Linked DNA regions of Danio rerio. The protein of the gene in region 2 interacts with the protein of the main gene of each other region in a pairwise test. Links are inferred from orthologs where the notes say so. Each region holds a gene or a part of one and is shown on either strand. Other genes may lie near its edges.

Region 1 (4,926 bases), on a different chromosome or scaffold from region 2:
CGCTTTAATCAGAACACTGGCGCTCATTATCGCCTGATAAGATGTTAATGCGGTGTGTTCGATAATAATGAACCCTTTTATGAAGACATTAGCAAGTATACAATAGACTTGTCGAATTAAACACTTTAAACGCTTGAAAACACAAACCTTTCTCCAGCCGAACCACAAACACGGGAGCGCGGCTCGCGCCTGTGACGTCATATCGCACGACCAAAATAAAAGTCCTGTTCACGTGTTAAATTAAAGGCTTGTAGGAAGACTATTCATTCATTCATTCATTTTCTTTTCGGCTTAGTCACTTTATTAATCTGGGGTCGCCACAGCGGAATGAACCGCCAACTTATCCAGCACATGTTTACGCAGCGGATGCCCTTCCAGCTGCAACCCAGCACTGGGAAAACTATTGTATATTGTTTACAAAGAAGGAATTCGATTGGTAACATGTTTTCATTCATTAACAGTGCTCGTTTGTGAACGATTTTGTTGATACTGTGTAATATATATATATATATATATATATATATATATATATATATATATATATATATATATATATATATATATATATATATATATATATATATAATCACATAATCATCATCATTATACATAAAAACCCAGAAAGATTTGTACACCTGAAATATATTACTGACCTATTTCTGGTATATTGTTGTTTTGATTACTCATATTGCTCTCATTTTCAGTTGCTTTGAATAAACGTGTTTGCCAAATGCTTATTGAATGTATGAATTGTATGTGGCTGTTGTGGAATAAAGCTGTAACAGCTGCCACAAGCCCCTGAACATTGGCGTAAATAAGCTTTTAATAAGCTAAATCCTATTTTCTGGCACTTGAGCCAGAGAGTCACAGTAATAGATGAGATGTGCTACTGTATGAATATGTCATTTTTGTTTTTTGAGATATGATGAAAGCTGGAAAATGAAGCTCATGTTCTCAATCTTTTGTTTAGTATATCCATTATTGTAAATTTAGCAATCAGTGTAGCAATTAGTGTCCTGGGTCTGCCCCGAGGCCTATAGGTAGGCGTTCAGGAGGCTTCTGAAACAGATGCCCGAGCCACCTCAGCTGACTTCTCTGGATGTGGAGGAGCAGCGGCTCTACTCTGAGCTCCTCCCAGGTGACAGAGCTCCTCACCCTATCCATAAGGTTCATTCCGCTGTGGCGACCTCTAAGCTGAAGGAAAATGAATGAATAAATTAATATATTTCCTGTGATTGGTCTGTACATGTTTGGAGGACCCCAAGGAACCTAACACATTTTTTTTCCCCAGGGCCAGCCCGAACACCAGCCGGTGACCCACTCACACCTGCGGCTTCTCCAGGATGGACGTCCAGCGTTCTCCAGCCTCAATTGGTCAACTGGTGAAGTTCCTCCTCTGTCGCCACTGTCCTGCTTGGTTTGGGACTTGTGGAGATGCACATGGATGGATTTGCTCTTCAGTGTTTGGACTCTCAGCAGTGAAGATTCAACCACACTGAACTGAACTGAGCTCTGAACACTGGACTGACACGGCTTCAGTTCACTAGAACTTCTGTGTTCAGCTGCTGCCACACAATCTACACTGTAGAAGAGCTGGAGTTTTATTCACTTGGCTAGAAAGTGCTTCTTCATTAATGAATTAATTAAATATATTTATTACTGTGTGACATTAGAGAAGTCATAATGTTTAGTAAAAAGGTGCTGTTCAGCTGCAGGCCTGCTGTGAGTGTGTGAAGGTCTGCATGTGTGCCTGTCTGTCAGAGGGACAGATATACAGAGAGACTCGTATTACTCTCCGTCATCTAACACCTGCTGAAAACACTCACAGTGACACACACACACACACACACACACACACACACACACACAAAGTGTTCAATCCTCAGTTCAGAGCAGTCTGGTTATTACTGAGTTAAGATTATCTTCTGTGCTGAAGCAAATATTAACTTATCTGTATCAGGGTCACACCTCACTGACTGAAAACTGGGATTATAGCACAGAAACACATCATCTACAGGTGTGTATGCTTGAACTTGCTTGTTCTGATGGCATGATTTAGTGGTTGTGTGCATTTAAATCTTTTCTATGTATAGTCTAGAAAACGTTTCTGATTTGTTCCTGTAGCTCAGTTTAGTGAGAGATCCTGAATTTGTTGGCCTCAAAAAAAGTTTCCAACTCAGATATAGAAGTTGTGTGTGTGGATTTGAGGATTTCATCATGCTCTCATGTGTACAAATTAACTGTGAAACCTTTTTGTGTTCATTTATTCCATAATAAACAGGTGTATGTAGGGTGTGACATGATCATTGCACTGCATTCGCCACCCTGAAATTACTTTATTTTCAATAAGAGAACCAGAAATCTGTCTCAACACGGAGTGGACATCCTCAGATTCCCAATTTCGCACTGCAAGGTCAACATTAGAAACACCCAGTGGTGGAAAGAGTACAGTAAAATCATGCTTAAGTACAAGCACATACTTGCCTAAAACTGTAGTGCAGTAGAGTAAAAGTGTCTGCTGTAAATATTACTCAGTATAGCTTTCAAACGTACTCAAGAGTAGGGAGTATTACACTGTGAAAAGCTGATGCGTTTACATGTAACTTGCACATGTGTGTGTGTAAACGTAAGATTCTGTAGTGCATCTAGTGATTGCCCAGCAGGTACACAATGTCATAAGACGTTAATATTAGGTTAGATTTAAGTTGTGATGTCGGGAAACCAAAATTCAGTTTCTAACCAGTGCAAATCAAATGACGTTGATATTTGGTTGATTTTAGGTTTTTAGAAAGTGACCAAAATCTAATGTCGCGCCAACACCTTAAACCAACATCACATTGACGTCACATACTGATATTATTTCATCAGGTATGGCAACCGAAATCCAACATCTGATAGACGTCATAGTGGTAACGTCCACACAACGTCAAGCTGTAACATCATTAGACGTTGATTTTAGGTTGATTTCAGGTTTAACGTTAGACATTGACGTTGGCCTGACATTGAGTTCTGACGTCAAACTGATTTTCACTTCCAAACAAAATGCACTGTCTCCAAGATGTTAGTGTACAAGGTCAATCTGACGTCATGTTGACGTCTTGTGCCTGCTGGCTGTTTAAGGCCATTTGGCTCATCATATAGTAAACATTTGCCATCTTCTCATCAGTGATGTGCATCTAAACAGTCTCTGGGTCAGTGAGTGTGAAGATTGTGGACATCTTCTTTTATGCACTTTAAATGCTTCTAAACAGTTTGCTGCAATTATAAATCATCTTGAGGTAGTTCATTATGAGGTGACTTACCTTCAGTGTGTGATTTGATCAGACAGGAACCACAGGACTGATCTCTCTAATCTCCATAGACAAGAAAAAATACAGTAGTGACTGCAGGATGAAGGAAATTAGTGGAGTAAAAGTACAGATACTGCAGTAAACGTACTCAAGGGAAAGTAAAAGCCCACATTTATAAAACTGCTCTCTAAATTACAATTCCTGAGAAAACTACTTTGTTACAGTAAATTGAGTATTTGTAATTAGTTACTTTACACCACTGGAAACACCTAATCACAGCGGCTAATATGTCAGTGATCATAGCACTTTACAAACATGTGTTTACAAGTCAGAATCTAATAATTATGATGATTTGTCAAGAGAGATATGAATACTCAGACCACTTCAGGAGGTGTTCTGATGTGCATGAGAGATGTGCTCTCGTTTAAAACCACATATTATGCGCACATGACGATCCACATTTCTTACAGGATGCTCCACTGACCTGTGGGGTTCCCCAGGGCTCTATTTTGGCCCCGTTGTTATTTTCCATTTGCATGCTCCCTCTCTGATCTATTTTGAGAAAATGTGGGCATCGTTGCAGGAATTACACACCGGTTTACTTCCCAGCACACAATTTAGTTTTTAATAGACGTTTAATAGACATCTAAGCATAAACAGCTTGGCTAAAACAAGACTAAACTTGGGCTGTCAGTGAAAATCTAATAGACATCTAAGAATAGCCCAAAACTAGACTATAGTCGTCAAGTGGACAGATTAGACAGACTCTATATGTGTAGTCCTTCATTTCTGTTTATTTGATGGCTAGTCTAGTTTTAACCTATGGACGTCTATTAGATGTTCAGCCCAAGTTTATCCTTGTTTGAGCTGAGATGACATTGTTTGGACGTCTATCAGACATCTATTAGACATCTTTTAAAAACAAAAAATGCTTGCTGGGTTGCTAGTGGTTAATGTAAACGCTTTTCAGAATCAGACAGATATCTGATCAGAGTAAACGCATGAAGAGAGCAGGTGTACACAAGCTGGAGTTTTCTTGAAGCTGGTGAGTGTCTCCTGCAGGTGCGGATTTCTGCTGACTGACTGCGTCTGAAGAGGCTGGACTGATGGCTCAATATGACCAGTGAGTGTTTGACAGATTAAACAGTCTTTCAGGAGCATTATATAAGATTACAGCTATCCTAATGCTCAATGTGTTCCAGACTGGAGGATAAAGACTCGCTGGACATCCACGATAACCCTCCAGCGCCAGAGAATGTGGTGAAAGAGGACGACAACACTGTACGTATGATCACCTTCTCTTATTAGCTCTCATTCAACACACATTTGTAAATACAGGAGTGAATTATTTGTGTAGCACAAAGCTTCCTGAAAACCCTATTCACAAACACTTGTCAGAACTGAGATATATTTAAATATGAACTGTTGTTTAACTTATTAAACTAAATTAATTAATAAATAAAGGGTGTGTGCTCCCTCATTCATAATCTGCATAAACCCACCTATGCCGGAAATCAAAATGCTCTGCCATCACTTTTGATTTGATTAAATATTAGTCATTTTTAAGCCTTGTTAAATTGAACTTTAGCTACTGTTTTTGCATTCACTAACATTAACTAATGGACTATTATTGAGT
Region 2 (5,115 bases):
AAAAGTCTTGTCGCCTGTCCAAGTTTTAGGAACAACAAATAATAACTTGATCTATAGTTGATCACTTGGTATAGAAAGTGGCTTATATGAAAGGCAAAGGCGTCTAGATTATGATTATTTTAGCAAAATAAAATATGATCATGCCTTGATTTTTAATTATTTAATTAAGGTCTGACTTTGCTTAGACAAAAGTCTTGTCATTAACAGAAATAATGTCCAGTATAGAATATTAAGTCATGCTGCAGTGGAAAATAATGAATATTGTGTATGACTCCATCATGAGCTTGGAGGACTATTAATAAAGTCATCTGGAATGGCAAAGAACGCGTTCTTGCAGGACTCCCAGAGATCATCATGATTGCTTTGGATTCATCTTCAGGACTTCCTCCATCTTCATCCCCAGACATGCTCAATAATGTTCAGTTCTGGTAACTTGGCTGGTCAATCCTGGAGCACCTTGACCTTGCTTACTTTTAGGAACTTTGACGTGAAGGCTGAAGTATGAGAAGAAGCGCTATCCTGCTGAAGAATTTGCCCTCTCCTGTGGTTTTTAATGTAATGTACAGCACAAATGTCTTGATACCTCAGGTTGTTGATGTTGCCATCCACTGCAAATCTCTTGCACGCCCCTATACTGAATGTAACCCCAAACCATGATTTTTCCTTCACCGAACTTGACTGATTTCTCTGACAATCTTTGATCCATGCTGTTTGCAATAGATATTCTGCAGCATTTTTGATGATTTAAATGCAGATCAACAGATGATTCATCTAAAAAAAAATAAAATAATAATCTACCTTCTGCCACTTCTCCAAATGATCAACTAGAAGTGAGGTATTATTTGTTGCTCTTACAACTGGGCTCGACGACAGGACTGTCAGGTAGTCAGTGTACTTTATTTTGCACCACGAACGTGAGTTATTTCAGTTAGGTTGCAGAAGTGTAACTTACCTTTGCGTACTGCTCCTTGAGGGGTGCAGACAGTCTGAGAATACAGCACATCTCTGCAGTCAGTCTGAAATATAAAATAAAAGCATCTTTATTACCGAGTTTAATCTGTTCACGCGACAGGGCTATAGAGAACTAGAGAACTTACCTTTTCTGTATTAAATCTGTCACATAGTCCTTTCCTGACTTTCGCTTCCCACTGAATAACAGAATGATGCTAGGTTGTGTAGTTGCCATGGTTGTAATTACATGTGATGTGTACTTCATACTCGTGTACACAACTGACACATGTCGAGGACTACAGCCTTCAATATGAATCAGGAACCGCTTTATGTCGCTTTACCGTAACTACCAAAAAAATGTAACCTAAAAATAATATAAGCGTCTTTGGTTCTTCTGTTTGCTTAACTATTTTCTTTATTTGTGTTACTTTAAAACTTTATTGGCGTATGCGATGTTTTTTCTGTCATCTAAAAGGATATCTAAGTGAAATGTGGAAGTGTGGAAACAGGATGTTTGGTGTTTTTGTGTAGCTACGGTAATCGGACGAGTGTCACGCCATCAACTTACTGGGTATGTGCTAAATATATTTACATTTCATGTAAATAAGTTACCAGAGTGTTTTTAATTTATGCAGATATTTAAATAGTATCAGAAAAAGTTCAATAAAATAATAATCTTACATTGTTTACGTATTTATAAACACTTTTTTTCACTGACCCGGAAGTGAAACCACAAAAACGTTTGTTTCTGTATTTCATTCTTATTTGTTATTCCCCAAGTGCGGTTTATAAAGGAAATTATTTTTTAAGTGATAAAACTTGTATTTTTAAAAGTAAAATAAACCAAACATCTAAGGTGAATGCGTTATTTTTGGTTTCTGTGACCCGGAAGTTTTGAATCTGTCAGGATTGTTTTGCTTTTAGCGTCTTCTCCTTTTGTCTTTGTTTACATGTGGATAAACCGAGGATTTTTTCATTTTGGGTGAAGTTGGTGAATTCAATGTGACGCGCAGTGATGAACGGCAGCTCGAACCCGCCGCTGGATAAAGAAGAGCATGTGTTGAAGCTCGGGGACAGTTTTGAGAAGAGACCAAAATCATCCTTTCACACCATCAGATGTGAGTCCATCAAGAGAGACATAACATGCGTTATTCAAAGTATATCCCAACTAGAAATTTTCAGTTCTCTACATGCTCTAAGCATATTACCAAGCAATGTTGCATTACTGTTTTCCGCGGGTAGTTTTGTTTTAGTTCCCAGAACATTCTCTTAAAACAGTGCTCACCAAACTTGTTTCTGGAGGGCCGGTGTCCAGCAGATTTTAGCTCCAACCCTAATCAAACACACCTGAACAAGCTAATCAAGGTCTAACTAGGTATACTTGAAACATCCAGGCAGGTATGTTGAGGCAAGATGGAGCTAAACCCTGCAGGGACACCGGCCCTCCAGGACCAGGATTGGTGACCCCTGTCTTAAAAGATAGGAAAACATTTTCTATAATAATATTAACCACATTCGCACACCTTCAAATCTAATACTTCTTTGCTAAAAGGAAATAGGCCAATAAACCACTTTTTATAGCAATACGTTTATTAAAAAAAAAGTTATATTATCAAATATTCATCTTAAAAAATATTTTTTGTTTTAGTAATGTAATTTATTCAGCCAGGATTTAGTGAACTCACAATATTTTGTAAAAAACAGAGAAATTATTTCAGTTCTTATATATATAAAAAGGCCTAAATAGATGCAAGGTCATTCAAATATTTTGCTCTTCTCTGACTAACACACAGGTGTCAAACTCAGTTCCAAAAAGGCCGCAGCTCTGCACAGTTTAGTTCCAACCCTAATTCAACACACCTGATCAAACTAATTGAGTCCTTCAGGCTTGTTTGAAACCTACAGGTAAGAGTGTTGGAGCAGGGTTGGAACTAAACTGTGCAGGGCTTCGGCCCTCCAGGAATTGAGTTTGACACCCCTGGACTAACACAAATACTTGCGACTGGTTCATGAGATCAGTCAGGGGTGCGTTTCCCAAACAATGACGTAACTCGCGGCTTCATCATGTGATGCATAGTTTGGGAAAAGAACAATTGAATGTAGTGACGAGTGTTTCCCAAAACCCATAGTTTCTCTGTCACAGATCCATCGTTTGAACCATGGTATTAATAACGTAAAATGCCCATAATGATGCTGTAAATGGCGTAGAGTAACTACTTCTTTAGAGAAAAACCCATCATTTCTTTGTGCAAATTATTTTGTTTTACACAAACACGCATTTAAAAAAAATCCAATATTAGGTTAGGTAAAAACATGCACTTGTTTTCCATAGTAACTTAAATATATGTAAATTGAACATACAGGGCATGTGATTCCTTTACAAATATTATTAAGAACATTACATATTCTATTGTAAGACATAAAACCACTTAAAAAAGCGAAAATGCATTTTGATATCATATATAAATAAATAAATAAATAAATAAATAAATAAATAAATAAATAAATAATGAGGCTATTTATTGAGAAATGAAATTTTATATTCATTATGTATTAAAAAAATATACCACTTTAATAAAATTAATGATAATGACAATTATTATTATTATTAATAAGTAGGATATTGTTTGCTTATTTATTTAAAATTTTTTGAAAAGTCTACTTTTACAATTTGACATGAGAACCACAACAGAAATGTGCTAATCAACAGGCCCTTGTCATATACAGTACAGATACTTAATAAATTACCCACTATAAATTAAAATCTTTAACGCATGCTGTGTTTTTTGTTTTCACAAGCTTTGGAGACGTAACATAAATTCTGCTTTTAAATAATAGGTCACCTATAGCTTTAGTCATGAGCCGCGGCTGTGTTCAAAATGACATCAATGTTTTCAAAGTGCACTGCGGAGGGACACAATTGTCAATTTGAAAATTTTTAATACTGTGTTCACACCAGACGCGGAATGCGCGTCAAGCGCGAGTGATTAACATGTTAACATTCGCGCCGCGTTAACCAATCAGGAGCTTGCCTTGTGGGGGCGTGATTGTGACGTATCTCCTGTTGTAGGTGTCCCGGGGCTGTTTTTCAGCCTTCATAAACACATAAACACTGTTATTTTCTTCATAAAATCCATGTTAGCCATTTAGCAACAAAGCTACAGTCACCGGGCAGACAGAAGCCCTGCCTATCACGCGAATACGCGTCTGTTCTGAAGTGAATTTGACGTGCGAATGAAGTGGGGTTTGACGCTCGAATGAAGCCAGTAAACTCAAATGTTCACGCGGCTATTTACGTGCGAATAGCGCGATTTATCCGCGCGTTCCGCATCTGGTGTGAACGCAGCATACTGAACTGAAAAAATAGTTTGAAAGCAAATTATACCTAAGAGGAATGAGCTTAATGCTTTTTTAGTCATTCCAATTTTAAATATTAGAATGTTTTAAATGAAATGGGCATAGGGGGGATAGCTGGGAATAGCACACAGCCAGGAACTATGTTTCTAACTACAGCTCCAGAGGTGTAGTTGCAAGCATACAAGTTTACAACGCAGTTTGCGAATGTTTGTTGGAACGATGGATTTGGGAAACGGCTAATCATTGAAGTATGTTTGTAACGACTTTAGTTGGCTAACAATGATTTTCGGAAACGCACCCCTGATCAGCAAGTACCGATCGAGTCATTAAATGTGATTATCAGCCAATCGAAGCCCCCTACCTAAAACCAAGGCATAATTATAGAATTTAGTTTGTGAGAATGAAAACAGGCACAAAAAATTGTAGTAATGAAATGCATTGATTTTATTATTTTAGTAAAGATACATTTATTTCAATTAAATAAATAAAAAGAGAATGAAAAACTAGCTTCATTGTCGTACTGTACGTTTACAATTGTGTGCTATTCCTCCACAGATGATTTTAAACCAGCGTCTATCGATACGTCCTGTGAAGGAGATTTACAAGTGGGAAAAGGAGATGAGGTTACCATCACTTTACCACACATACCAGTAAGAGCAGCGTTCTCTTTAACATTTATATCCGCTTATGTATGACAGCCTTTCTAGAATACTCTGATTTCTCTTTAGGGCTCCACTCCACCAATGACGGTGTTTAAGGGCAACAAAAGGCCTTATCAGAAAGACTGCGTTCTCATCATCAATCACG

What was found. The genes of interacting proteins can lie anywhere in the genome.
Region 1: the proteins of eaf1 (region 2) and stac3 interact in binary tests that used the Homo sapiens proteins (3 or more experiments, as listed by UniProt). The two-hybrid records come from large-scale screens. The link is inferred for Danio rerio from reciprocal best matches to the Homo sapiens genes EAF1 and STAC3.

Annotation. Positions count from the first base shown.
Region 1 is NC_133184.1:262,791-267,716, forward strand, and holds the start of stac3 (SH3 and cysteine-rich domain-containing protein 3), read left to right. Parts: upstream 1-1,869; 5' UTR 1,870-2,017; intron 2,018-4,260; exon of another isoform or gene 4,261-4,352; 5' UTR 4,353-4,396; coding exon 4,397-4,413; intron 4,414-4,492; coding exon 4,493-4,571; intron 4,572-4,926. Other genes in the region: si:ch211-166e11.5 (sterile alpha motif domain-containing protein 3), read right to left, coding at 148-201. UniProt on the Homo sapiens protein: Required for normal excitation-contraction coupling in skeletal muscle and for normal muscle contraction in response to membrane depolarization. Required for normal Ca(2+) release from the sarcplasmic reticulum, which ultimately leads to muscle contraction.
Region 2 is NC_133191.1:7,227,826-7,232,940, forward strand, and holds the start of eaf1 (ELL-associated factor 1), read left to right. Parts: upstream 1-1,895; 5' UTR 1,896-1,966; coding exon 1,967-2,069; intron 2,070-4,863; coding exon 4,864-4,958; intron 4,959-5,036; coding exon 5,037-5,115. UniProt on the Homo sapiens protein: Acts as a transcriptional transactivator of ELL and ELL2 elongation activities.